Notamacropus eugenii: one gene and its partner. The protein of the gene in region 1 purifies or fractionates together with the protein of each later gene. This does not show direct contact. Links are inferred from orthologs where the notes say so. Each region holds a gene or a part of one and is shown on either strand. Other genes may lie near its edges.

The links.
Region 2: the proteins of SH3PXD2A (region 1) and FGD1 purify together in Homo sapiens (affinity purification with mass spectrometry; 3 studies listed by BioGRID and IntAct, with this or other methods). This does not show direct contact. The link is inferred for Notamacropus eugenii from reciprocal best matches to the Homo sapiens genes SH3PXD2A and FGD1.

What each region holds. Positions count from the first base shown.
Region 1 is NC_092872.1:182,100,450-182,112,485, forward strand, and holds the start of SH3PXD2A (SH3 and PX domain-containing protein 2A), read right to left. Parts: upstream 4,753-12,036; 5' UTR 4,314-4,752; coding exon 4,242-4,313; intron 1-4,241. UniProt on the Homo sapiens protein: Adapter protein involved in invadopodia and podosome formation, extracellular matrix degradation and invasiveness of some cancer cells. Binds matrix metalloproteinases (ADAMs), NADPH oxidases (NOXs) and phosphoinositides.
Region 2 is NC_092879.1:102,631,119-102,643,390, forward strand, and holds the start of FGD1 (FYVE, RhoGEF and PH domain-containing protein 1), read right to left. Parts: upstream 5,792-12,272; 5' UTR 5,759-5,791; coding exon 5,653-5,758; intron 1-5,652. UniProt on the Homo sapiens protein: Activates CDC42, a member of the Ras-like family of Rho- and Rac proteins, by exchanging bound GDP for free GTP. Plays a role in regulating the actin cytoskeleton and cell shape.

The DNA of each region.
Region 1 (12,036 bases):
TGTATGGGGCCCAGGCCTTTCATCATCTTCCTTGGACTAACCCATAATCCCATAAATTGACTCTGCTCTGCAATTTAGCAAGCCACAGACTCAGAACTCTTCATTAGAGGGAAGACGAGCAAGAGAGAGAAAGGTATGTTCCTTAAATGCACATAGCCATTAGAACATATGTGATCTTAATGTGTCACTCCCTACACAACCACCCCACAGGAGGGCATAACTAGTTTGACTTGATATTAATAATAATTATTATTATAGCAATAGTAATAGCATTTATATCGTGCTTTGAGGTATACAAAGAACTTCACATATATTAATCCATTTGATCCTCACAATAACCCTAGACTTTATCCATATTGCCACCTAGTTGTCTCACCTTACCCTTGGTGGAAGGCTGGAGGGGGAGAAGGAGAGGAAGGATATCCACCCAAGCCAGAAATGGGGAACCTGCAGCCCTGAAGCCACATGTGGCCCTCTACGTCCTCAAGGCTGAAGTTTCCTATCCCTGACCCAAGCCCTGGGCTCCTTCTCCTCCCTATAGGATTAACCATTTCCACCTCCTTTCGTTGACTTCACCTTGAACACGTCAGTAACCATTTGCATATAACTTAGCAATACTTTTGCAAGCAATTGTTATAATGTTACATAGACAGTTATCCTTCATTCTCTGCCTAAGGACTGCTAGATAGAACATTGGCTAGAAGCCTGGGCCAGGAGGCAGAAAGACTTGAGTTCAAATTCAGCCTCAGACATTCCCTAGCTGTGTGACCCTGGGCAACTCACTTAACCTGTTTGTCTCAGTTTCCTCAACTGCAAAATGGAGATAATAAAAGCACCTATCTCTCAAGGTTGTTGTGAGGATCTTTTGAGATATTAATAAAATGCTTAGCAAAAAGACTGGCACGTAGTAGGCACTATATACATGCTTATTCCCTCACTCCAGATTCTAATCTCTGGGGAGATCCACCTGAGCTTGGAAATGTTGAAACAATCTAACCTGGGAAAATGACCAGTTGATATTCTTCATTCTGAGAGACAGACAGACAGACAGAGACAAGGGGAGAGAGAGAGAGAGAGAGGGAGGGAGGGAGGGAGAGAGAGAGGGAGGGAGACAAAGGGAGGGAGGAGGAGGGAGAGGGAGAGGGAGAGAGGGAGAGGGAAAGGGAGAGACAGAGAGAGACTACAGCTGAAGCGTGAGGAATAAAATTAAATTAAAATGGAGATGGAATCCCATGGGAAAAATTGATCAGAACAATTTACTAATTTCTACTACTTTCTTTTCTCCCTCTCTTCTCCCCCAAATAAGAGAGGAAAGGTTTCATTTCATGATAGATCCCCTTCCAGAAGCAGGGCTCCTTGTGGTTCAAGTCCTTGGATTAACCACTGAGTGTTCAGTCACTGTCTCTCCTTTCGGGATTTTGTTTTGTTCACTGTAAAATGATTGAAGTTGGCATGATCTCTGCGAAAATCCCTGCCAGAGCTTTATTTTCACAATGAAAAAAAAAAGTTTCTCCTTTAATTGTTCCTCAGAACTTAAGGTCAGGGCTCTATGTGGCCTCTCTCTTCCAGTGACATCACTGCCTGCTTTGCTTTCCCAGGATGTGACATCATCAGTTCCCATAGGGCGCTATTCCATCCCTGCCTCATAATGTGAGAGGAAATGGTAGTATCCATGAATGAGTATTATTAGGAAGAGCCTTTATTTTCCCCAAGTTTTCATATGGTGCAAGTAACTATTATCCTTTAGGAGCTGGTTCCTACCCCTCCCCCCTCACAAAAGCCCTGCTTTTTTAAACTAAAATGTTGACTTTTTTTAAAGAAACTTGGATTTCAAAATTTTCTCCTTTTTTATGCTCATATCTATGCCTGTCAATGAAAGTCAAAATAAATCCTTTTTTTTTTTTTTAATGAAGAGGCCAGACATGAGAATTATGGTATTTTTTTTATCTTTATTCACACCTTTCCATGAGTTTCTAAGAGCTCTGGCAACACTGTCCTGGCCTGAGGTCAGAAACTCCAGGTTCTGTAATCTTGGGTCCTCAAGAAGGAAACTGAATTGTGATAGGTCTAGGGATGAGATTTAGGATTTCACTGGTCTAGGGTATTGGTGAGGAAATTCCCTCTACTAATATAACTTGTCACTTTCCCTGAAATTTATAGTGTAATAAAGAATTGCCAAGAGCATTGATTGGTTAAGTAACTTGATCACATAGCCAATACAAGTGAGAGGTAAGACGTGAACTTAGGTCTTCCTTGGCCACCACACAAGAAAATAGTGCACTAGGCCAGTTTTGATGAACAGATGCAGGAGAATGCTGCATTTTTTAACAGGTTCCAAGGCAAGCCAGCTTGACTGTTGCACCCCAAAAGAGGACTATAATGTTATCAAGCTGCTTTGCAGATTTTGGACCCCCAACTTGACAATGGTATACAGATGTTGCTGTAAATTCATCTAGAAGCTAAAGTCACACAGTCTATCGGGAAAGTTTCAGATAGAACTTGCTCACGTCCCAGGGCAGAGACTGCCACCTGCTGAAAGGTAACTCCAACCTTACTGAAGGACTGGTTTAAAAAATAAAAAATAATCATTGATAGCTAAAGCAACTCGACTCCCTGACTTCACAAGTAGAAGCTAAGTGTCTCAAATACACCTGCTACATGGATACTGGTGACCAGTCTTAAAGAAAAGATAGCTTAAAAGTGAATACAACAAAAGATGAACTTATCGGCCATGAAGGGGTTAAGGAACACTAGAATAATACCCACCCCATCAGAAGACTGTGTCTTCTCCTCCTAGAGAACTTTGAGAATGGAACTGCTGCCCATCAATCTAAGGGGATTTAGGAACAGCCTTGCCAAAAAGCAGGATAAATGACCTTTAGGGTTGCTTCCAACCCAAGAATTCTGAGAGCTTCTGGAAAACCCCAGTAAAAACCCAAACCCAGCACAAGCCAACTTGTGACAGTTTTCAAAAAGACATAAAATTTTGGGTAGTTCCTGGATGGAGAACATAAGCAAAGCTCAAAGGTGCCCCATCTATAACAAAGAAATCAAGATACTACTAAGGTAAATCTGAGAAGCATCAGACTTTGTGAAGTAAGATTAACTTCTTTAAAAAAAAACAAAAAACTAATGCAGAGCCTTCTAAAAAAGATCTATTTGAAAAATATAGGCATTACCAAACCAGAAGCAACATTGTTGCTCCAAGTCTTCCGTCCTAGGGAGTTACAATCTTACTCTACTGGAATTTTCTCAAACTCAGGAGGACATTCTAGATGTCAGTAATACTCCATTTGCTCAGAGGTGTGAAGGCTGGGTAATGGAGATGAAAGGGTGAAGTATCAACCAGTCTCTTCCTTCTCACCTTCTCCCAAGAGTACTTTGTATCTCTCCTTTACCCCTCTATGGAGTTCTGCCTTATATCATATTTATATAGGCATCACATACACACTTTGAGATTGTAAGCTCTGAGGGGGTTTTGATCCTAGCAACATCTGCACCGTTAACTCAAATACACAACAGAAGCTTACATAGGAGAAAATCTCCTCAGTTTAAGAATCCGATCCACAGTAAGAAAGAGTAAAATGATAATGTCATTCAACATAATGGATATGGACTTCCAGGACAAAAGTAAGGAGGCAGAGAGTGGTAGGTTTCTTCCACCTAAGCCCAGAACTCAGTGGAGCAAAGAACCTGACAGGCTGGAAAGGAACCTGCAGAGATCTTACTGGCAAAAGTATCTCCCTTAGGACACGTTTAGAAGACTCCCCCGGATCCCTACAGGAAGTTGTTGCCGGGAAGATGCTCTCCCCACGCATGTTCTGAGCAAGAGTGGGTTTTCCAAAAGCTACTCGTATCCCCCTCCCCACCCCAGATACACACACACACACACACACACCCCACCCCCAGCCTCCGTCCCAGGTCTATCCATCAGCATCATCAGTTGGACAGATGACTTCACCACTCAAACAGACAAGGCCAGACACTTGCCAATTCCTAAGCCAAAAAAAGAAGTAAAGAAGTAGGGGGGAGGGGAATTTAGGGAAAGGGGGACGTGTTAGGATCTAGAGAAGGGATCTGAGTGTCCCCAGTGGATTCCAGCGCTCCTAAGAAACTCGCCAGCAACATTCTCCCCTAACGCTCCACTAGCCCACGAGACCGCAAGTAGCAAATGGGAACCTGGGCTAGTCCCCATTCCGTGCCCAGCCCCGACCTCGGACCCAGCCGGGGGCCCTACTCACATAATGCTTGGAGGGGTTTCTCCTCTTCTCCACATCCACCACGGTGGCATCCTGCACCGCGTAGGCAAGCATCTTCTCCCCGCTGCTGGCTGCACGCCCCGCCCGCTCCGACTCTTCCTTCCCTTCCCTCCCTTTCCCTCTCCTGGCCGGGAGACTTCAGCTCCTCATCCTGCCTGGGGCTGCCCAGGACAGGACTGCAGCCGCGGCTCTTCCTCCGGGGCTCCCGCGGCCCCTACTGCCCCCGGGGAAGATGGCCAGGAGAGCGGGGAGGCAGGCAGGGGGGCACTCCACGCGCACAGGTAGCTGCCCCGGGGAGGCGGAGGACGCGTCCCCGGCTGGAGCCTGGTCCTGGCCCGAGGGTGTGGGCGGGGCGGCCCAGGTCGGGGGTCTTCCTGCCTCCCCGGGCTGGCGGGCTCCTTCCTCCGCTCCAGCTCGCTCCCTAGCTCGCTCGCTGCCTCCCTCCCGCCGGAGCCGCAGCTGCAGCCTCCCACTCCGGCCGAGTCCCGCGGAAACTGGGGGAGGAGACGACGGGGGAGTGTCCTGCCTGCGGGGGAGGGGGCGGAGGCTGCAGGCCGAGCGCCCGCTGTCAGGGGGGTGGGCGGGGAGGGGGCGGCGGGCGAGGGCGAGGGCGACTGGGGCTGGAGGAGCTGCGGGCGGAGGGCCGGGGCCGGAGAAGGGGCGGGCTGGAGGCGAGAGGGGAAACGCGAGGGGAGGGGCTCCGGGGCCGGGGGCGGGGCTGGGGAGGACGAGGAAGGGGCTGCGACCGGGGACTGGGTAGGGAGCGACCTGTAAAGCAGTCCGCACCCACTCAGGAGCCGAGGTAGAGGGGGAGGGGGTGTGTGTGTGTGTGTGTGTGTGTGTGTGTGCGTGTGTGTGTGTCTGTCTGTCAGTGTCTGTGTCTGTCCGTGTCTGTGTCTGTGTCTGTGTGTCTGTGTGAAGTTACTAGGAAGGGAGAGGGACAATTATAGGAGGGAGGGGAGAGGGGTTCCAAACCATCAGGCCTGGGGTGGTAACCACGCCCTATTCCCACCATTGCCAGCTTCGGTGTTAGAGCAGAGACTATTTGTGGTAAGGGTCACCCTGTCGTAGTACCTAATGCCCTGGCTACACACCAGCTCTGCACTCCTTTAAAGGATCGTTTTCGTCTAAAATAAATAGTGTGTGCTGCCGGAGCAGCTCAGTGCAGTTCTAAGAGCCCTAGTCTGAGACCTGGGTCCTACTAGCTGCTCGACCCTTGCACCTCTGTACTGCTGCATCAATGGGAGGTGAACTAAATCAAGAAGTCTAAATCTAGGGTCAGTTAACTTTTTAAATGTGTGTATACATATTTCGATATAATTGGTTTCCTTTGTGATCCTATGTATTTCATGCATTTAAAAGTATTTAGAATAAGCTTCCAATAAGCTTCACCAGATCCCAAAGGGATCCATGATAAAAAAAAAAAGTTAACCCTTGGACTAAATGATGCTTAAAGATCCTTTTCAGCTGCAATTTAGTATGTTCTTATCTACAGAACCTGGGGAAGAGAAAGTCATGTGGTGAGAATGGAGGAGCCCATGCATGCCAATGAGCTTTGGTAAAGAGTTGCTCCCGCGGCTTGCTAATTCTTCTCTGACCGGATCGATTCACCGTCATTCATTCACTGGGCTTTTGCTAGTGTAGAGACCATGTTAACTTTTAATAAAATAAGAACACTACCAATTACAGTTAAAGGGGAAGGGCAGAGGGATACAGAACACAACCGTGAGGAAGGAAAACTATTCCAAACACCTTCAGGGTTCTAGATTTGAGGTGTGATATGTGATCCCTAAAGTGTAACCAGCAGTCATTCTGTAGTGAGAAGGGCCAGTCTTTTCTTAGCCCCTACAGCATAACTGCTGGGCTACCCCATACCCTACATTAATTTAATTCAACAAACATTTCCTGAGGACTATTGATGTCCAGTTCATTCTCTTTTAAAATATTCAAAAGGGCAGTGGTTTTCCATAATATTTTAGTAGTTTCACAATTTTAACATGAACTTATGAATTTGGACTGATGGAGGAAGGTCTGAATTGTGAAATGATGGGATTTTTTTTAAAGCATCATTATCATTGGGCTTGCTTAATATTTTGTACTTAACACTGTTAGGATCCAAGCTACTGCAGACCCCCAGCCCACCTTTGGAAACTCTTGTCACCAATCTCTTGGTCTTTGAGGAGAGACAACAAACACTCCTTATGCCAGTAAGCCTCTATACCAACTTCAGAAAGTCATGTAATATCCCTAGACCTCAGTTCCATTTTTAAAATGAAGTTGACCTAGATGATTTCTTAAGGTTTCATCCAGTACTGGTATTTTTTTTGATTCTAACCTTCTATGCATCTAACTGAAAGGCAGTGTGGTGTAATAGACAGAAAGCCTCTTGGCATAAGGAAGACCTGGGTTCAGATCTACCTCTGGAACATATTTGTTTTGCCTCAAAACAAGCCATCAAACCAATTACTACCTCAGGGAAAGCATAAATTACAAAGCAGTTGCCAATAGGTTTCAACAGAGAATTTCCTCACTAGGAATTCCTCACACCAGTGATATTGAGCTGAAAAAGAACCAGGGGTCACCAAACCCTACGTAAGGATCACTGTAGGCTACAAATTGAGTTAGAAAACCGTTTGTATTTGTTCATTTGTTTATTAATTTATTCCTTTGTTTTGCTGTATATTCCCCAATTACATATTAATCTGGTTCAGGCACCAACTGCCCTCATTGTGTTGTGGGCCATGTGTTTGATACCTCTGCCCTACACCAATGAAATCCCACTGCATCTCTCCTCCTAAAAAAGGCTCTAAATAAAATGCCCAGCCCCTTATTAGGGGCTACATGATCCCTTACTGGTTCCTATCCACACAGAACTTATAGTCTAATTGGGGAGATGAGATAGTGACAACTAAAGAATATAATTTAGTATAATACCTCCCATAGCTCACATTATATGATTTACAAAGCACTCTTCTTACAACACCCACCCTGGGAGGTAGAGAGAGCATTTAATAAATGAGTCAAGTAATGTTCAAAACTATTAAGTGAATTGCCTGCATGGTCTTATAGCTGGGAAAGGTCGAAGACAGTGCCCAGAAACTGATTTCAGACTCTAAGTCCAATGCCTCACTAACTCATGGAGAACAAGACAATAACTTGAAATTCAAAAACCAGCAATCAGCAAGAACTAGAATGGTTCAGACAAGACTTCACTCAGCTAGGACCTGAGCCTATGGTAAGTATTATGGTAAGTCTTGAGAATGGGTAAGTATTTTGGCTGGACTGGAAATGACATCTCCCTCCTCTTAGTTCCTTTATCACTTATTAACTACAGTATTCACATAGCATTTACTTTATTATAATTATTTACATATGCCATCCCCCCACTAATTGGTATTGCTAGAGGATAGCAGTAGTGTCTCATAATGATGTTAAAGTTGGAGAGACAGGGTTGGATCCAATTCTAGAAAGTCTGGATAACCAGACAAGAGGAATTTGAAATTGATGAGGTTGATCTTGTGAAAGCTAGGCTTTGGGGAGACAGTTCCAGCAGCAGGATGGATGATGGGCTGAAGGAAAGAGACAATCCTTTCTCCTCCTAGTGAGAAGAGTCTGTTCTTCAAAAGGGTGTTCCCCAATCCCAGAGAATTATTGTCCTCAGAAACTGGGATGTGGTGTGAGAAACTGGGAACTGAACCATCTCAGAGAACTTCATGACTTTTAAATAAAGAGTCTAGAGAACCCTTGATAAACACTGTATAATAATACTCTGATCTTCACCTATGGTTTTCAGAGCACTAATTAAGCCTCAAAAGTTTGTGGTGAGGTGAGAAAGAATCTGTGCCAATGGGAATAAAGTCAGCGAGGTGAGGTTAACTTACCCTGGATGTATCTTCTCATCCTCAGAAGATGTTTCCTTTCCCGTCTCTGGCCTTTGATCTAACTCATACTTAATTTTAATAAAATTTTCACTTCATACTATTTTGTTTTTTCTAATTACACATAAAAATAATTTTCATTTTGATAAGATTTAAAGTTCCAAATTTTTCTCCCTCCTTCCCTAAGACAACAAACAATCTGATATAGGTTATACATGTGCAATCTTGTTAAACATATTTCTGCATTAGTCAGGTTGTGAAAGAAGAATCAGAACAAAAGAGGAAAACCACGAGAAAGAAAAGGACAAAAACAAAAAAAGGGAAAATAGTCGGCTTCGATCTGCATTCAGGCTCCATAGTTCTTTCTCTGGATGTGGATGGCATTTTCCATCATGAGTCTTTTGGAATTGTCCTAGATCATTGTCTTCCTGAGGAGAGCTAAGTCTACCATAGCTGATCATCTTACAATGTTGCTGTTACTGTACAATGTTTTCCTGGTTCTGCTCACTTCACTCAGCATCAATTTATCTAAGTTTTTCCAGGCTTTTTCTGAAAAACTTCCCGCTCATCATTTCTTATGGCACAATAGTATTCCATTATATTCATATACTACAACTTGTTCAGCCATTCCCCAATTGCTAGACATCCCTTCAATTTCCAATTCTTTACCACCACAAAAAGAACTGCTATATTTTTGTACATGTGGGTCCCTTTCCCTTTTAATGATCTCTTTGGGATACAGACCTAGTAGTGGGGTGTGTGTGTGTCTGTGTGTCTGTGTGTGTGTCTGTGTGTCTGTGTGTGTATGTATCTGTGTGTCTGTCCTTCATTGCTGAATAAGACTATGCCATCAGAGAAATAATGATATGACTTGTACTTGACTCTGTTTTGAGTGAGGAAGGGCTGTCTAGGTCACCAGCCTCATTTCTCCTCCAGAGCCAGGTGAATCCAGTGACCAGATATTCATCAAGATGACTGGAGATGACCCAAGATGAGGCAGTTGGGGTTAAGTGACTTATCCAAGGTCACATAGTGAGTGTCAAGTGGCTGAGGTGAAATTTGAACTCAGGTCCTCCTGACTCCTGTACTGGTGCTCTATCCACTGTACCACCTAGCTGCCCACTAGTAGTGGTATTGCTGGATTATGCACAGTTTTATAGCCCTTTAAGCATAGTTCCAAATTATTCTCTGGAATGGTTGGATCAGTTCACAACTCCACCAACAATGCATAAGTATTCCAAATCTCCCACATCTTTGCCAACATTTATCATTTTCCTTTTCTGTACTATTAGTCAATCTTATAGGTATGAGATGGTACCTCAAAGTTGTTTTGATTTGCAGTTCTCTAATCAATAGTGATTTAGAACATTTTTCATATGACTGTAGATAGTTTTAATTTATCTGAAAACTGCCTGTTCATATTTTGACAATTTATCAATTGAGGAATAACTTGTATTCTTATACGTTTGTCTCAGTTCTCTATATATTGGAGAAAAGAGGCCTCTAACTCATACTTAAAGGTTATTTAAAGAAGGAGGGTTTGGAAATGATAGAACTTAGCTTAAAACAGAAGCATGGTAAAGGGAGTCATTTACAGTCTGTACTTGATAATACAGTTCATGTTTTGGCTCCATCCTGCATAAAGCATTGGCCTGAGCTGGTACAGTAACAGCAGTACTAGGCAGAAAATTGGGAGATGTTTTTATCCTGGCTCTGCCATTCAATAACCATGTGACTTTGAGTAAGTCACTCCCCACTCATGGTCTTTAGATTCCTCATGTGTCTAATGAAGCAGTTAAACTAATTGGTGGCTAAGGTCTCTTATTAACTTAATGATCTATAATAGTGAGCTCCAAGTTTTTTTGATTTTTTTTTTTACCACACCTGTAAAAATATTTTGACCATCCCCAATCCATGTATATGTACTTATTTATGTATTATCTATGTACACACATATATGTATATACACACATGCATATATAATTATATTATGAAACTTACACAAAAATAGACTTTTAAAAATATGAGATAAAGATGTAGTATTGTTTCATCCTATCATCAATAAGGAGTCAATGGGGGTTTACTGAGAAGGGTGACATAATCAAACCTGTACTCTAGGAAAATCACTTTGGCAGCTCAGTGGAGGATAGATTGAAGAGGGGAAAGACTTGAGTCAGGAAAGCCAATTTGAGGCCACTAGAGTAATCCTGGGAATGAGAGGAGATGATGTCCTGAACAAGGTGGCAATGTGGATAGAGAAACAAACGTGAGAGACACTATGATGGTAGAAATGACAAAATTTGGCAACTGATGGATCAATGGTGGTCCCTCAGCAGTAATAAGGAAGTTTGAAAGGGAGTGAGTTTCAGGGAAAGATCGTGGATGAGATTGGTAATGTGAATTGATGCCTCCTCATCCTGTGTTTCACCAAAAATGAAATTGGGACAGGATTTTTACTCATCAGCTTCTACAACCCACTCAAAGCCCAATGCCTCCCATAGACAAGAGGTTTGGGGACACTGAGGGGAAGTGTAATTTTCCTATGAAGCTTCTGGTGGAAGTGGGAAGGGTTACTGGGTCAAGTTAGGTTACAGCCATACTAAGGGTCTGGTGCCTTCCATGAGAAGGGGCTAAGTCAGAAAGGATTGAGATAATGGGTGAGGGGAGTGGTGCATTTGTCAGGTAGTCAACAAACATCAATATGTCAGGCACTGTGCTAATTGTTAAAGATGCAAAGAAAGACAAAATTAGTCCTTGACCTCAAGGAACTCACAATCAAATGGGAGAGACAACATGCAAACAGCTACGGACACATACACAAGATGTAAGTAGAATAAATTAGAGATAATCTCAGAGGAAAGACACTAGCATTAAGGGGGACCAGAAAAGGCTTTTTGCAGGGATTTTGACTGAGATTTGAAGAAAGCCAAAACTCTCTGGCATTGGGAGCAGGGGTAGGATGGGCAGAACACTACTTCTTACAGAAGTAGGATGTTTTTATTATAGATAGGTGCAAGATTGGCTATCTCCTTAAGGAGAGCCTGTGTGCCACCTTTCTAACTGTCTGATTTCCACTATGGGATTATTCCATGGTCCCCTAGGAATAATCAATATCACTCCACCACACTTTGGAAACCACTGATCTACAAATTAAAAATCCTAGTCATTTCTGCAAGGTGGAGTTTGGAGAAGTGTCCCACCCCAGAAATACTCTCAGCTCAGAATAAGATATCCTTTAAGCATTTCAGTGGGTGGCTTGTGTAGTCATTGAGCCTATTTCAGAAAGAGTTGACTCTTATATTTCATGTTGTATGTAAAAAGCAGAGAAGTGGCATTTAATAAGAAGAGTTTTAGGGAAAAGATTCTTCAAACTGTAAGGAAGATAGATTGAAGATCCTAGATCTTTCTCCTCTAGGCATATATATCCACCTTGAGTAAATCACTTTTCTGGGTCTCGGTATTTCTACTGTAAAATGGAGACAATCATTTCATTTTTGTCTTTGTCTCTCTGGCAAGATACTTTACCTCATCTTTACCTCAATTTGAAGGTATTTATCTTCAATTTACTCATTGAAGTAAATTTACCTCAATTTAGTCATTTGTAACCATACCAATGTTGTCTCTGTCTCACAGAATTATGGATGATCACATAAAACAAAGATGATGAAGTGCTTCTTCATAAATCTTAAAGTGTTTTAGAAATCTTGCTAATATTGTAGTGGGGAGCCCAGAGATGAATATATAAATTCAAAGGGATAGTTTTTTGCCACTGGACACATGGCGATGTGAAAGGACAAAATTAATAATTGGGTACTTAGAACTACAGAATGTTAGTGCTGAAAGAAATTTTAGGGATACTCATCTGGGGCAGCAATCATAAGGTCATAGATCCATGTAGA
Region 2 (12,272 bases), on another chromosome or scaffold:
ACTCCAAAACGGGAATACAGCTAGCACCTAACTCCCTGGGTTGTTGTGAGAAGCAAATAAGATAGCATGTGTAAAACCCTTGGCATGGTGCCCAGCTTGATAAGTGCGTTTGCTCCTCTCCCTACCCCCTTTCCTGTTTCTGATAAGCCATCACTAGTGCTCTGAGCCACCTGGCAGGGGCAATGGGAATCCCAACCTGGCAGGAGCAGGCCTCTTTCCCCAGAAATCCTGGGCGCCCCTAACCAGACTCTTCTCTTCTACATCCCCCATACCTGTGGGGGTGGAAAGGGTTAGGGGTCCGATGGGGTCTTTGGATGGACATCTTTCTATCTGTCACACAGGGCAAGGAGGGTTTGAGGGAGACTGAAAGGACCTGAGTACCAACCCTGCTTCCGGCCACTGTCCAGCTGTGTAGGCTGGGGGGGTGGGGACAGCTCCCAGGGTTCTTGTGCCCTGAGGGGCAGGGGACCACCCATTCTTTCATGTGCCCTCTGAGGGGGTTTGGTCACTGGGTAGTCGACAGGGCCTGACCCCCAAGAGCTGCTTCAGGGACTGACTCTGGGTATGGAGGGGGGCCCTCATTACACACACTCCCTCTGACCCCAAGTCACAGAGGGCACTGGCATAGCCACCGAGTGTGCATGTGGTCACATCCAAGAAACATGCAGGAGTGAGAGAGGGAGTGGGGGAGGGAGGGAGCAAGAGAAGAGATAGACAGACAGACAGAGGCAGAGCATTTATCCAGTGCTCACTCTGTGCCAGGTACTGTGGCTGGAGTCAGGCAGGAGGAGGAAAGTTCTGGTGGCAGTAAGGGCCTGGGGGGAGTCGCCTGAGCTGGTGCCTAAGGAATGTTTGGGTACGGTGGACCCTCAGGGTCATAGCCTATCAGAGCACACTTGAACCTTCTCATTTTACAGAGAGAGAAGGTGAGGCTGAGAGAGGGGAAAGTGTCCCCTCTATGCCCATCCCCGGCTGAATTCTTGAACAGGGACTTGGACCTGGGAGGGTCCTTCCAGCTCAAAATCTTGCTGAGAGAATTCAGCTGAGCCTCAGTTTTCTCATCTGAGCCCCTTGAGGGCAGTGACAGTTGCCCCTCTGCCCCCACAAAGGCTGTCTTAGAACAGGGCCTGTTCCCCAGAAGGACTTGCTACAATCTCTTTCGAAACCCCTGATCCAACCAGGGAAGGAGGGTGACAAGTAAAAAACCAGTGACCTGCCAAAGTGGGGTGGCAACTCCCCTAAATGCATACACATCTTTCCAGGGAAGGCCCCTCCCCACCATGGCATTCAGAATGGGGCCTTCTAGAGATGCCTTCAAGGAGAGGGGTGGCCTGGAGCCTTGGAGAGTGCTTCACCCTGGTCCCGAGTGACAGGTGTTTCCATCCCCCAGCCAGGGCCCCTCAGCCCCACCAGGCAAACATCTGGCCAGCTGCAGCTCAACATCTGTCTAAAGCATTATGGAAAGTGGGGATGGTGACTCAGACCTTGGCAACTTAAAGGTACAGGGTCCCTTTTCCTGGAGAGTTGGGGAGGAGCCTAAGCCAGACTTGGCAGTAGGCCTTCCCCCTCCCTCTTCTTCCCCGATGTTCCACAAGAGAGACTGGGCCTGCACACCCAGCTGCTGTAATTGGAGTCCCAGGCCTAGACACAGACTGGGTACCCAAGAGGGAAATTTGGGTCTGATTCACTTTCCAGATACGGGTAAAAGGGCATTTTGCAGACCTGAGCACTCAAGCAGAAGACCGGGCGGGCCCTTTGAGGACTGGGCACATTCATTTCCTTTCGTGCCCAGTCTGGATGGTCCCTGGCATCTGACCCTTCTCTACCCAGCTGACTTAGCTCCCTTGACTCCAGCTGGAAATCTGAGTTCCTTCCCACCATGGTCCCACTCCTATGAGCCACCAAACCCAGGGACCCCAAACCTAGACTCAGACTCCTGGTGCATGTCCAACTGGATGACCCTTCAGGGCCTTCCGTGGGCCTCTCCATTCCAATCCAGCCATTCCTTGCTTGGCCCAGGATGGAAAGCCCGCCACAATCTAGCCCCCTTTCCAACCTTTTCCAACATTACTCAGCCTTCCGGTCAAACTGGCTCATTTACCATTCCTTGAGCCTGACCATCTCCTGCCTCCTGGCCTTTGCCAGGCTGTTCCCAACCCCCACCTCCCACCCCCACCATTCTCATTGTCATCTCTTCAAAGCCTCTCCTTCCTCCAAGGCTTAAGGGTCTGGGAACCAGTGACTCCCCTCTCAGTCTCTTCCCCCCAACCCCTCCTTCCCAGCGCACTTAAGAAACGTTTCAACTGAATGGAACCTTAGAGAGCATCTAGCACAAACCCCTCATTTTAGAGACGGAAACAGGCTCAGAGAGAAAGGGACTTGACCAAGGTCATAGCTAGCAGCAAAGGCAGGATTGTGGCAAATCCTGTGTTCAGTGCTTGTGGTCCACAAGGTGTTGAGGATGGCTGAACAAACGAGAGCGTCTTAGTCTGAATCATTATCATTTTCTCATCACTTTGTGAAGTCTAGAAACCAACAAGCCAGTCGTTGTGCAAGGGGCGGGATCTGCCTTCAGAGGTGGCAATGGTCATGCTGACCATTGGGTGTTCCTCCCAACTGGCCCCTTCCTGAGGGCTGGGCTGCTCTCGCTCACTCCCGCCATCTCCCCCATGGTGGAGACCTGGGGGCTGGGAAGCCAAGGGGCCCAAGTCTGGTCCAGTGTAGGCCCAGCTCTGCCTGAGGCTCACTTTGGGAATGCTAAGGGGGCTGTGAAGGCCATCCTGAGGCTCTTCTCAGGAGTGCTCCCCCTTTTCCTTCCATGCCTCTGTCCTCCTCCAGAAGCCAATCAGCTCTGGCTAGTGCACTGCCCTTCAGCACATATCCCTTCTCTCCACACATGCACACAGCAGTCAGTGGCCTTTATGCACACTTCCTAGTTTCTCACACTCTGTCCTGGTTCCATCACATCCCCATAGCTGACAGATGGGGGTACTGAGGCATGTCAGATCTCCTGACTGCCAGGCTAGGCAAAGAAAACCCCAAAACTGCTCTCCCCTACCAAGACTCCTCTTCCTCTAGACAGAAGTTTCCTGAGGAGGAGACCTGTAGAGTCTGGCCAAAGGAGGCGCCAGCCCCAATCTGGGACCAGAGCCATATCTGGGGAAGCTCCTTTTCCCCGTCTGTGCTCGCCTGTCCTGGCCACACTCACTGATCAGAGCCTCAGTCTCCTTCTCTGAATAATGGGGAGAAACCGATGTGCATGGCTGACCTTTCTAGGGCTCCTGGGAGGAAAGCACTTTGCAAATCTTGAAAAGACGTTCTTCTATCTGCTCTCCTGTTGGGGGTGTAAGCTCAGTTCCATGTGGACAGTCTCGGGCAGGTAAAGGTAAGGACTTCTAAACCTTAGAGTTCTCATGAGGCCCCCCAGGGAACAGCAGGGAATTGAGGTGTGAGATCGGGCTATCTCGTGCATTTCCGCCTCTTCCCTTGGGAAATGTGCTGGGGAAGAGCATCCCCGCCCTCGAGATTAATCCATAGTCCGAGCACACCTATTGTTGTCTAACAGGCACGGTATTCAGGTGCAAACTATGGGGCGGGAGAGCTTAAGTAGGGTCAGGAAAGCCTGAAGGCGCTCTTAGCGCTGAGGGGCCCTTAGAGGACAGAAGGCCCCTCTTCCCTCTCCCCTCTCCCACTTCCACTTCCATTCTCTTACTGTAAGATCTTTGCCTCCTTGGGAAGAGGATTCCTCTCTCCTAAGGAAGAATTTACCCTGCACATGTAACCAAGACCCTGAATAAAGCCTAACCCTTGTTCGACTCTGGAAAGTCTCTTCTCTCATACGTTTATCCGGTTTGGCCAGCCGAAGACCTGCGATAGGTAAGGTAAGACTTGGGTAGCCCTTAGGCCTCTAGGCCTGACACTCTCCAAGTAGCTCAAAGGCAGATATCCTTAATTCAGATCTGGGGCTCTTTAGGCAGCTGGTTATAGCCCATACCCTGGATGCCAGCCATCTCCCCCATCCCCTAATTTGAAGGGCCCTGAGCATCTTCATCAGGTGGCCTTTTCCAACAGAAAGAGCTTTATCCTTGGGGGGCAAGGTATTTAAATGCAGATATCTGTCCCTTCCTCCCCTCCTACAGTGCTGCCTCCCTCCCCTCCCCCCCTACCCTGTCTCTGCCAAGGAGAAGGAGGATTCTTTGTAGGGAATGGTGGAGGGTGGAGGGCATCTCAGCTGAAAGTTAGAATAAGATAGAGTTACTCAGGGAAACTGAGGGAGGGCCTTTAGGGACCATCATTTTATAGTGAGAAACTGACCCAGAGAAGCTGGGGTGAGGTCTATTGGGTTAGAACTGGGAAGGGACCTCAGAGGTCCTCTAGGTCCAAGTCTTTGGTTTACAGATGAGGAGCCTGGAGACTTGAGAAGAGGCAAGGAGGGGGCTGAGCTCAGACCCCACAGCCTCCCTGCCCCTGAAGCCTCCCCCACTCAAGGTTCCAACTTCATGCTAGTGACAACTCTGGACCTGAAGCAGAAGCCCCCTGGGATCTAGGCCAGACCTTCCACCCTCACCTCCTTTGGCCAGGTTTAGCCCATTTGGCACAGCTCTCTGCTCCAGGCTGGCCCAATGCCGCTGGGCAGCCAGAATCCACTAATCCTTCAAGACTACCTCTAGGAAAGGCCTTTTTGCCAGCTCTCTCGACAGGCCTAGGGCCCTGGTCAAGGTCAGGCTAAGTGTGGTAGGAAGGAGCTGCCACTTCCTGGGCTCCTACTACCTTTCAGGCCACTGGACAAGAGGTGGAGATGGGGAAGTTGGGTCTGGGTTTGGCATAGGGAGAGGCCAGGTTCTGATGGAATGTGCTTGAGGGCCCACAGGATCACAGGGTCTCTGGTACTACAGACAAGCAGCTCTGTACTTAGCTGCTGGATTCTCATCATTAAGAAAGGTTGGAGCCTAAATTGGTTTCTCTATCAGTCCCGTCGTTTCCCCCTCCCCCTCCCCCATGCTGGCACCAAGCAAGAGATGAGGCTCTTAACTCCCCCCTCTCCCATGGCACAGACCTTGCCCCCCCCCCCAATGGAGGGCCCCACCTGAACAACAGTCCAGCTGTGTCTGAGCCAGGCATGGGGACATGAGGAGCGGGCACATCCCTGTTGCTGTGGGACCCTGACCCTCCAGCATGGACTTCTATATGAGCTGCTCTCCCTGAGCTTGTGGTCTCCAGCTTCTTTTAGGAAAAGTGAAGCCAGGGCCTGGGTGTCCCCCCTGCTCTGACTCCCTGGTCCTGGGTGCACATGGGTCCTGAAAGTTTTCTTTGCCCACAGTGACCAGAGGATCCAAATTGTAGTGACTGGTAGGGACCAACCTCTTTGTGAACAGGAATCCCCGAAGGGTCTCAGTTTCCTTCCTCTGTAAAATGAAGGAGTTGACGCCCCCCAGGGGGATGGGGGGGGAGGAGAGGAGGAGGGGGAGAAGAGAGTAGAGTAGGGGAGGGAACCCCTGGCTCACTTGCCCACCTGTCCATCCCTCTGCCCATCTGTCTGCCCCCCCTCCCCCCCTCCCCCCATCCTCCCTCTCTGGCCACCTGCCGGGTTCCCCCACCCCCCGCAGTCCGAACCCCGAGTGTTCCCCCCCACCCCATGCCCGGCTCACTCACCAGGCCGGGCCTGGGCCCCCTCGATGTGGCAGGAGAAGCGGCCGGGCCGCGGGGGCCGCGGGGGCCCCGGACTCCCTGGGGGGGCGGCCCCGCCACTGCCCTGCATCCCGCCGCCGCCGCCGCCGCCGCCGCCGCGCCTGCTGCCCTCCTCCTCCTCCTCCTCCCGCCGCAGCTCCCGGCGCCCGGACCCCGGCGTCCCCGGCGCCCGGCCGCCCGCTAGGGCCGACCTGCACCCCCCGTGCACGGGGGGCGGGGGCTGCGGGGAGCCGCCGAGCGGGGCATGGCGGGGCCGGGCCTGGGGGAGGGGGCCGGGGCCGGGGCGCGACGTAGATCCGGGCGCGGCGGCTCCGGGGGGCGGCGCCCCCTCCCCGGTATCCGGGGAGGAAGCTGCCGGCGGCTGGCCCCGCAAGGGGCAGGGCCGCGGAGGCGGGCTCTTCGGGGGAAGGGGGCGCCTGCGCAGGGGCCCGGGGACTCCCCTAAACCCCGAGCGGCTCCCTCGCAGCCCAGTCCGAAGAGGACGCGGCCCCTCCCTCCCCAGCCTCCGCCGATCGGCCCCTCCCCCTGCCTCCAAGGCCCCCTCCCCATCGGCCCCTCCCCCTGCCTCCAGCCCCCTCTCCCCACCATGGGCCCTACTTCCACAGGCTCCCCTCTCCTGCTCCTCTTAACCCTCCACCGGTTTACACTTGTCTGGCCACTCTCACTCGTGGGTCCTTGGTTGCAACAAAAGCCCACTAGAAGCATATGTGTTTATTTGTGTACTCACTCGATCACACATGTGTGAGTCTGGACCCTGTGTCAGTGTGTATGTCTGGGGGGGGGCAAGGGACTTGATCTCTGTGGGGGAGGGGAGAGGAGAGGGCAAGTGTTCTTTTGTAAGTCTGTGTGTGTCTGGGTCTGGCTGGGGGCGGGAAGGTATGGCCCAGGGTTCCTCAGACTTCTCTGAATCCTCCCACCCGAAGTCCATCGGATCATGCGAGTGCAGCAGGAACTGAGGAGGCTGGAGGAAGGTAGTGTCTGGGCACATAGATTTCTGTGGCTGCGCCACACCAGGGGTCAGGCAAGACCAGCCCCCAGGCCCTCCATTTGGCTGGCTGTCCTGCTCAGACCTGCCTATGTCCTCTCATCTCTCTGGAGACCCAAGGTCCCAGGTTTGGGTCATGACACTCCCTAGGTAGGGGAAAGGAAACGGATGTATCAAGTGCCCACACTGTGCTAAGAGCTTTCCAAACACTATGTCATTTGGCTCCTCTCAGCAACCCTGAGAACGCGAGGCTACTATGATACCAATTTTACAGGTGTGGGGGGGCAGGGGGAGAGGGAGGGGGAGAACTGAGGCAGACATCAGACTTGCCCTTGGTCACCCAACTAGAAAGTGTCTGAGATTAGATTGAAACTCAGGTCTTTCCTGACTCCAGGCCTAGCCTATGGAAGCTGGCCAAGGGTGTCCCTTTGTGGCCTGCTCACATCTTTGCCTTCATACTCACTCTCCAAACTGCCAAGAGCTAGGGAATGACCAGGGCCTTGAGAGCTTGAAGCTATGAGTCGTGCAAGGGGCCAGCGATTCCCATTCCTCCCTCCCATTGTTTCTGTGAGCTTTAAGTGGGAGAGTCAGGGTTCATTCATCCACTTTCTGCCCTCCATCCCAGGCAGTCATGGGAACTGGGCAGCTAGAGACACCATAGTTAGTCCCAGTGCCATATTTGGGGTGATTCCATTTCACCCCCTAGGTTCAGTTAGAACCCAGCCAGGTACCCTCTAGGACCAGTGGCAGGACAGCAGCACACTTACAACCCTGCACAGTGCCTGGTTCCCAGTGTACTCTTAATTGAGTGTCAAGAAGCTTGAGTTGGTAGCTCAAGCAGGGCGCCATCTGGTGGTCATCTTTGGTATTGTATGTGTCTAATTAAAACTTCCTCTCAGGATCATTAATTACTTCAGTGACATCTAGTTAGAACCCTAGCTACGATAAAGTGTCACATTTATAAAGCATTTTAGGTTTGTAAAAGTACTTCACATATGTAGCCTGTGGGCTACTCAGACCCAGAGTTCTGTTTATTCTTGAGGGAATCTCCCAACAAAATGTCTTCTTGACCCTAACACAGTGTTTCCCTTTGTAACATCAGCGTTTGACTCATGTCTGGGAATATGAAACTATGGGGATGATCTTGGTGCCCTTCCCTCCCATGTAAAGCCAAGCTAAGATACCACTGAATCTAAATCCGATTTCACTGAAGCTGAGCAAAGCAGGCACATTCAAGCCTGGCTCTGGGCCATCTAGCTGCCCCATAGTGGTGTGCTGGCAAACGTTTAACAACTGGCTCCCCCCAAAAGAGAGAAAGGCATGCAGGACACACTTTGAAGTTTAATGTGCATTCTGTGCATTTTCAGCATCACTTTCTTAACAGTAAATCAAGCCTGATTTGTAGTGTCTGCCAATCTTTTCTTTCTTCCTTCCTTTCTTTCTTTCTCCCTCCCTTCTCTTTCTTCCTTCCTTCCTCCTTTCTTTCCTCTTTCCTTCCTTCCTCCTTCCTTCCTTTCTTCCTTTCTTTCTTTTTCCCTCCCTTCTCTTTCTTCCTTCCTTCCTCCTTTCTTTCTTTCTTCTTTCCTTCCTTTCTTTCTTCCTTTCTTCCTTCCGTTCTTCCTTTCTTCCTTCCTTTCTTCCTTTCTTTCTTTCCTCTTTCCTTTCTTCCTTCCTTTCTTCCTTTCTTCCTTCCTTTCTTCCTTTCTTCCTTCCTTTCTTCCTTCCTTCCTTCCTTTCTTTCTCTCTTCCTTCCTTCCTTCCTTCCTTTCTCTCTTTCTTCCTTCCTTTCTTCCTTCCTTCCTTTCTTCCTTCCTTCCTTCCTTTCTTTCTCTTTCTTCCTTCCTTCCTTCCTTTCTCTCTTTCTTCCTTCCTTCCTTTCTTCCTTCCTTCCTTCCTTCCTTCCTTCCTTCCTTCCTTCCTTCCTTTCTTTCTCTTCCTTCCTTCCTTTCTCTCTTTCTTCCTTTCTTTCTTCCTTTCTTCCTTCCTTCCTTCCTTCCTTCCTTCCTTCCTTTCTTTCTCTTTCTTCCTTCCTTCCTTCCTTTCTCTCTTTCTTCCTTCCTTTCTTCCTTCCTTCCTTCCTTCCTTCCTTCCTTCCTTCCTTTCTTTCTTCCTTTCTTTCTTTCTTCCTTCCTTCCTTTCTTCCTTCCTTCTTTTCTTCCTTCCTTCCTTCCTTTCTTCCTTCCTTCCTTTCTTTCTTTCTTCCTTCCTTCCTTCCTTCCTTCCTTCCTTCCTTCCTTCCTTCCTTCCTTCCTTCCTTCCTTCCTTTCTTCTTGTCTTTCTTCCTTCCTGTCTTCCTTTCTGTCTTTCTTTTTCTTCCTTCATTCCACCAAGGAATTTTATTTTTCATCTTTAAAAATCACTTCAATTTATGATTTATTTTTTGAAATTCTTTTCTTTTTAACTTTTGAGCTCCAAATTCTCTCCCTTCCTCGCACCCCTCCCCCACCTACTGAGAAGACAAATAGTAAGATACCAATTATACATCTGAGATCATGCAAGACGTATGTCCATACTAGCTACATGTCCGAAAAAGTGGGAAGAATGGAGAAAGTGAGACAATGACACTCCGGTTTGCGCTCAGAGCCCATCCGTTTTCTCTCTGGAGGTGCACAGCCTGTTCTCATCGAGTCCTTCAGAATTGTCTAGGATCAGTGTATTTGTCCGAGTAGCCAAGTCTTTCACAGGTGATCGTCATTACAATACTGCTGTTACTGTGCCCAATGAGCACCTGAGTGTGTGTGTATGTGTGTGTGTGTGTGTGTGTGTGTGTGTGTGAGTGTGTGTGTGTGAGTGTGTGTGTGTGTGTAGTCTTGCATCTTTGAACTAATTCAAATGATAGTGAGGTTCAAACATTGCCCACTCCTCCCCCCCCCCCCCATTTTCCCCTTCATTGTAAAAACTCTTCCCTATGTGTCTCTTTTACGCGATAACATTTTCCCCATTCTAACTAGCATTTTTCTTTCAGGCTTTGTTTGCGGCTGTTTTCACATTGTTGTCTTCTGAGTTTCCGGCTTGGTCTTCCCCTCCACCACTGAAGCGCAGTGTTGCTATTTGCTGATTTTCGCAGGCTATTTCTTGACTGAATTTTTGTTGAAGTTGGGCTCTGCTCCCCTGGGGGTGGGGAAGCCTTATCCGGAGCTGCAGATTTGTGCTGCTGTCTGCAAGTTTTCAGCGTTTCCAAGGTGTCCCCAGATCTGGGGAGAGAGATGGTCACTGTTCTCCTGCTGCCTTCTCTCCTGTCTGCAGATTTCAGAGACGGAAATGTTCACAACTCTGCCTTCTCTGTCTCTCTAATACACAAAATACAGAATATTGTATGATATCATTAACATGTAATATCATTAATATATAACATTTACATAATACAAATCTACTAATATTGTATAATGCTTACATTATGACATCTTATTAATATATAGTATCTTGTTGATATAGAATTCATTAATATTGATAATATATGATTCATCCACCAAGCATTTATTAAACAGCCAATCATTGCAGAGGTCAACAAGCATCATTTTTGCCCATCCAGGAGCTTATAATCTGGAGAAAGGGTGGGGACTCGCAGTCAGAAGTAAAACCATAGTAAATGCCAGCAGAGAGATGGCAGAGGGTTGGGTGTACCATTCTACTCTGTGTCATCTCACCCCTCCCCCAGGGTTCTTCCATACTCTTAAGGGGAAGGCAGGCATCTAGGCTCCAGCCAGATGTCAATGACTCCAGCTCCCACAGATGGTATATCTTCCTGCACCCCAGTTCCATTTAGCCACTTAACAGTTGTATTGGCTTATGCAGAGGAATATTTAGTTCAAAGGTACTGTCACAAACATACAAAGGCACTCCATAACACATGGAAGGTAAGACAATCTACACATCCCTCTCTACACACTACCTTAATCTCTGGGAAGGGTTCACAGTTTAGCTCATTTCCCATAAAACACAGCCCCAAGTTCCACGTCTAAACATCCCCTTCTGCTTCAGTCCCAGATTCCCTGGCTTCTCTGGGTTTCCCTGCCCAGATATCTGACTGCAACATCCCACCAGCGGCTCCAAAGTCTCTCCATGGCCCAAGCTCCCAGGTCTAGTGAGGATCACTACCTATACCTGAAACTAATAAGAACAAAATACATAGAAGAGAAGCAAACAACACCAGGTCCATTTCTCAGTAAAAGGAGAGAGAGGGGGAGATATCCCCCACTTTCTGGTTCAGTTCACGGCACCCACACTATGGGTGAACTGTCAGCCTCTGGACGCAGCAGGAAAGAGCCACTGAACCATTCTGGCACTTTTAAAGATGTGACTTTTGTTAAGAAATGATGAAGGGGATGGTTTCAGAAAAACCTGGGAAGATGTATTTGAATTGATGCAAAGTGAAGTGAGAAGAACCAGGAGAACATTGTACCCAATAAGAACAAAATTGTAGCAATTATCAACTGTGAATGACTTAGTTACTCTGAGTAGCTACTTAAAGAAGCCTATTGAATGGGTATATCTCACTCAAAGTGATCATAAATATCAGGCCACTGGACCCAGATGGCTCAGGACAAGAAAGTGAGGCAGGTGACCTTGCACAGCCTTCCCTCACTCAAATCAGAGTCAACTGCAAGTCATGTCATCATCTTGATGTCATGGTCCTTTTTAAGAATGAAGGACAAACGCAACAGTTACTCTGATCAATGCAATAATTCAAGACAATCCCAAAGGATTTATGATGAAATTATATTATTACCCAGAATTCAAAGTTTACCTTTAGCTACGTGGGTTCTCTACATCACTTGATTCATTACTGCGTGCTCTGTGTTGGAGCCTGCTCTCCCTTTGGACTCTGTGCATTTGTGGGAGATGTGCCTTAGGGTTTCTGGGGGAACTGTTTTGTACCGACTGTTCCTTCTGTAGCTTAGAGAATCCTGTTTGAAAAGTCAGTTCCAGCTGATAATCAATATGGAGCAAACTAGCTGGAAGGTCTGGTTCAAGTGCTAGAAACCGCCCAGACAGACTTGGGGCTTACTCCTAGTACCCTCAAAAGGAGCTGAACCTTTGACATTCTGGTGAGGACTTCTCTGAACAGTCCTCCCAAGTCTATACCACTCTATGGTTTAGACAGCAAATACGCCTGTTACTGGTCAGAGAACTCACTGGACTAATGTGGGTGAGTTGGGGAGGAGGCAATAGTGCTGCCAAAGTCTAGATCCCCCAACTCCTTCCTATGATATACTATGGGAACCACCTGGCTGATTTTCTCCTCTCTTGAAGGCTGGATCTAGGATTCTCTTCTTGCCAGAATTCTCATTCCTAACCTCTTTAACAAGGCTGCTGCTGCTGTCCAGGAAAACAGCCTACCACGGCCAGGAATCTCGATTCGGGGAGCTCCGGATCCTGACTTCTCTACCCAAGAGGCTGAGGTTCAGAAGCACTGGCTGCACCCCCCTTCTGGGTTGAGTGGACAAGCCTGGCTGTTCTGTCCTATGTGTCTGCAGGAAGTCTATTGATGCCATCTATGGTGTGGGGAAAAGCCATTCTTAGGATTTTGTATCTTGGGCCAAGTAGTCACACACACAGACACCACACACACTCCCCCCCACAACATGCTACACACCAC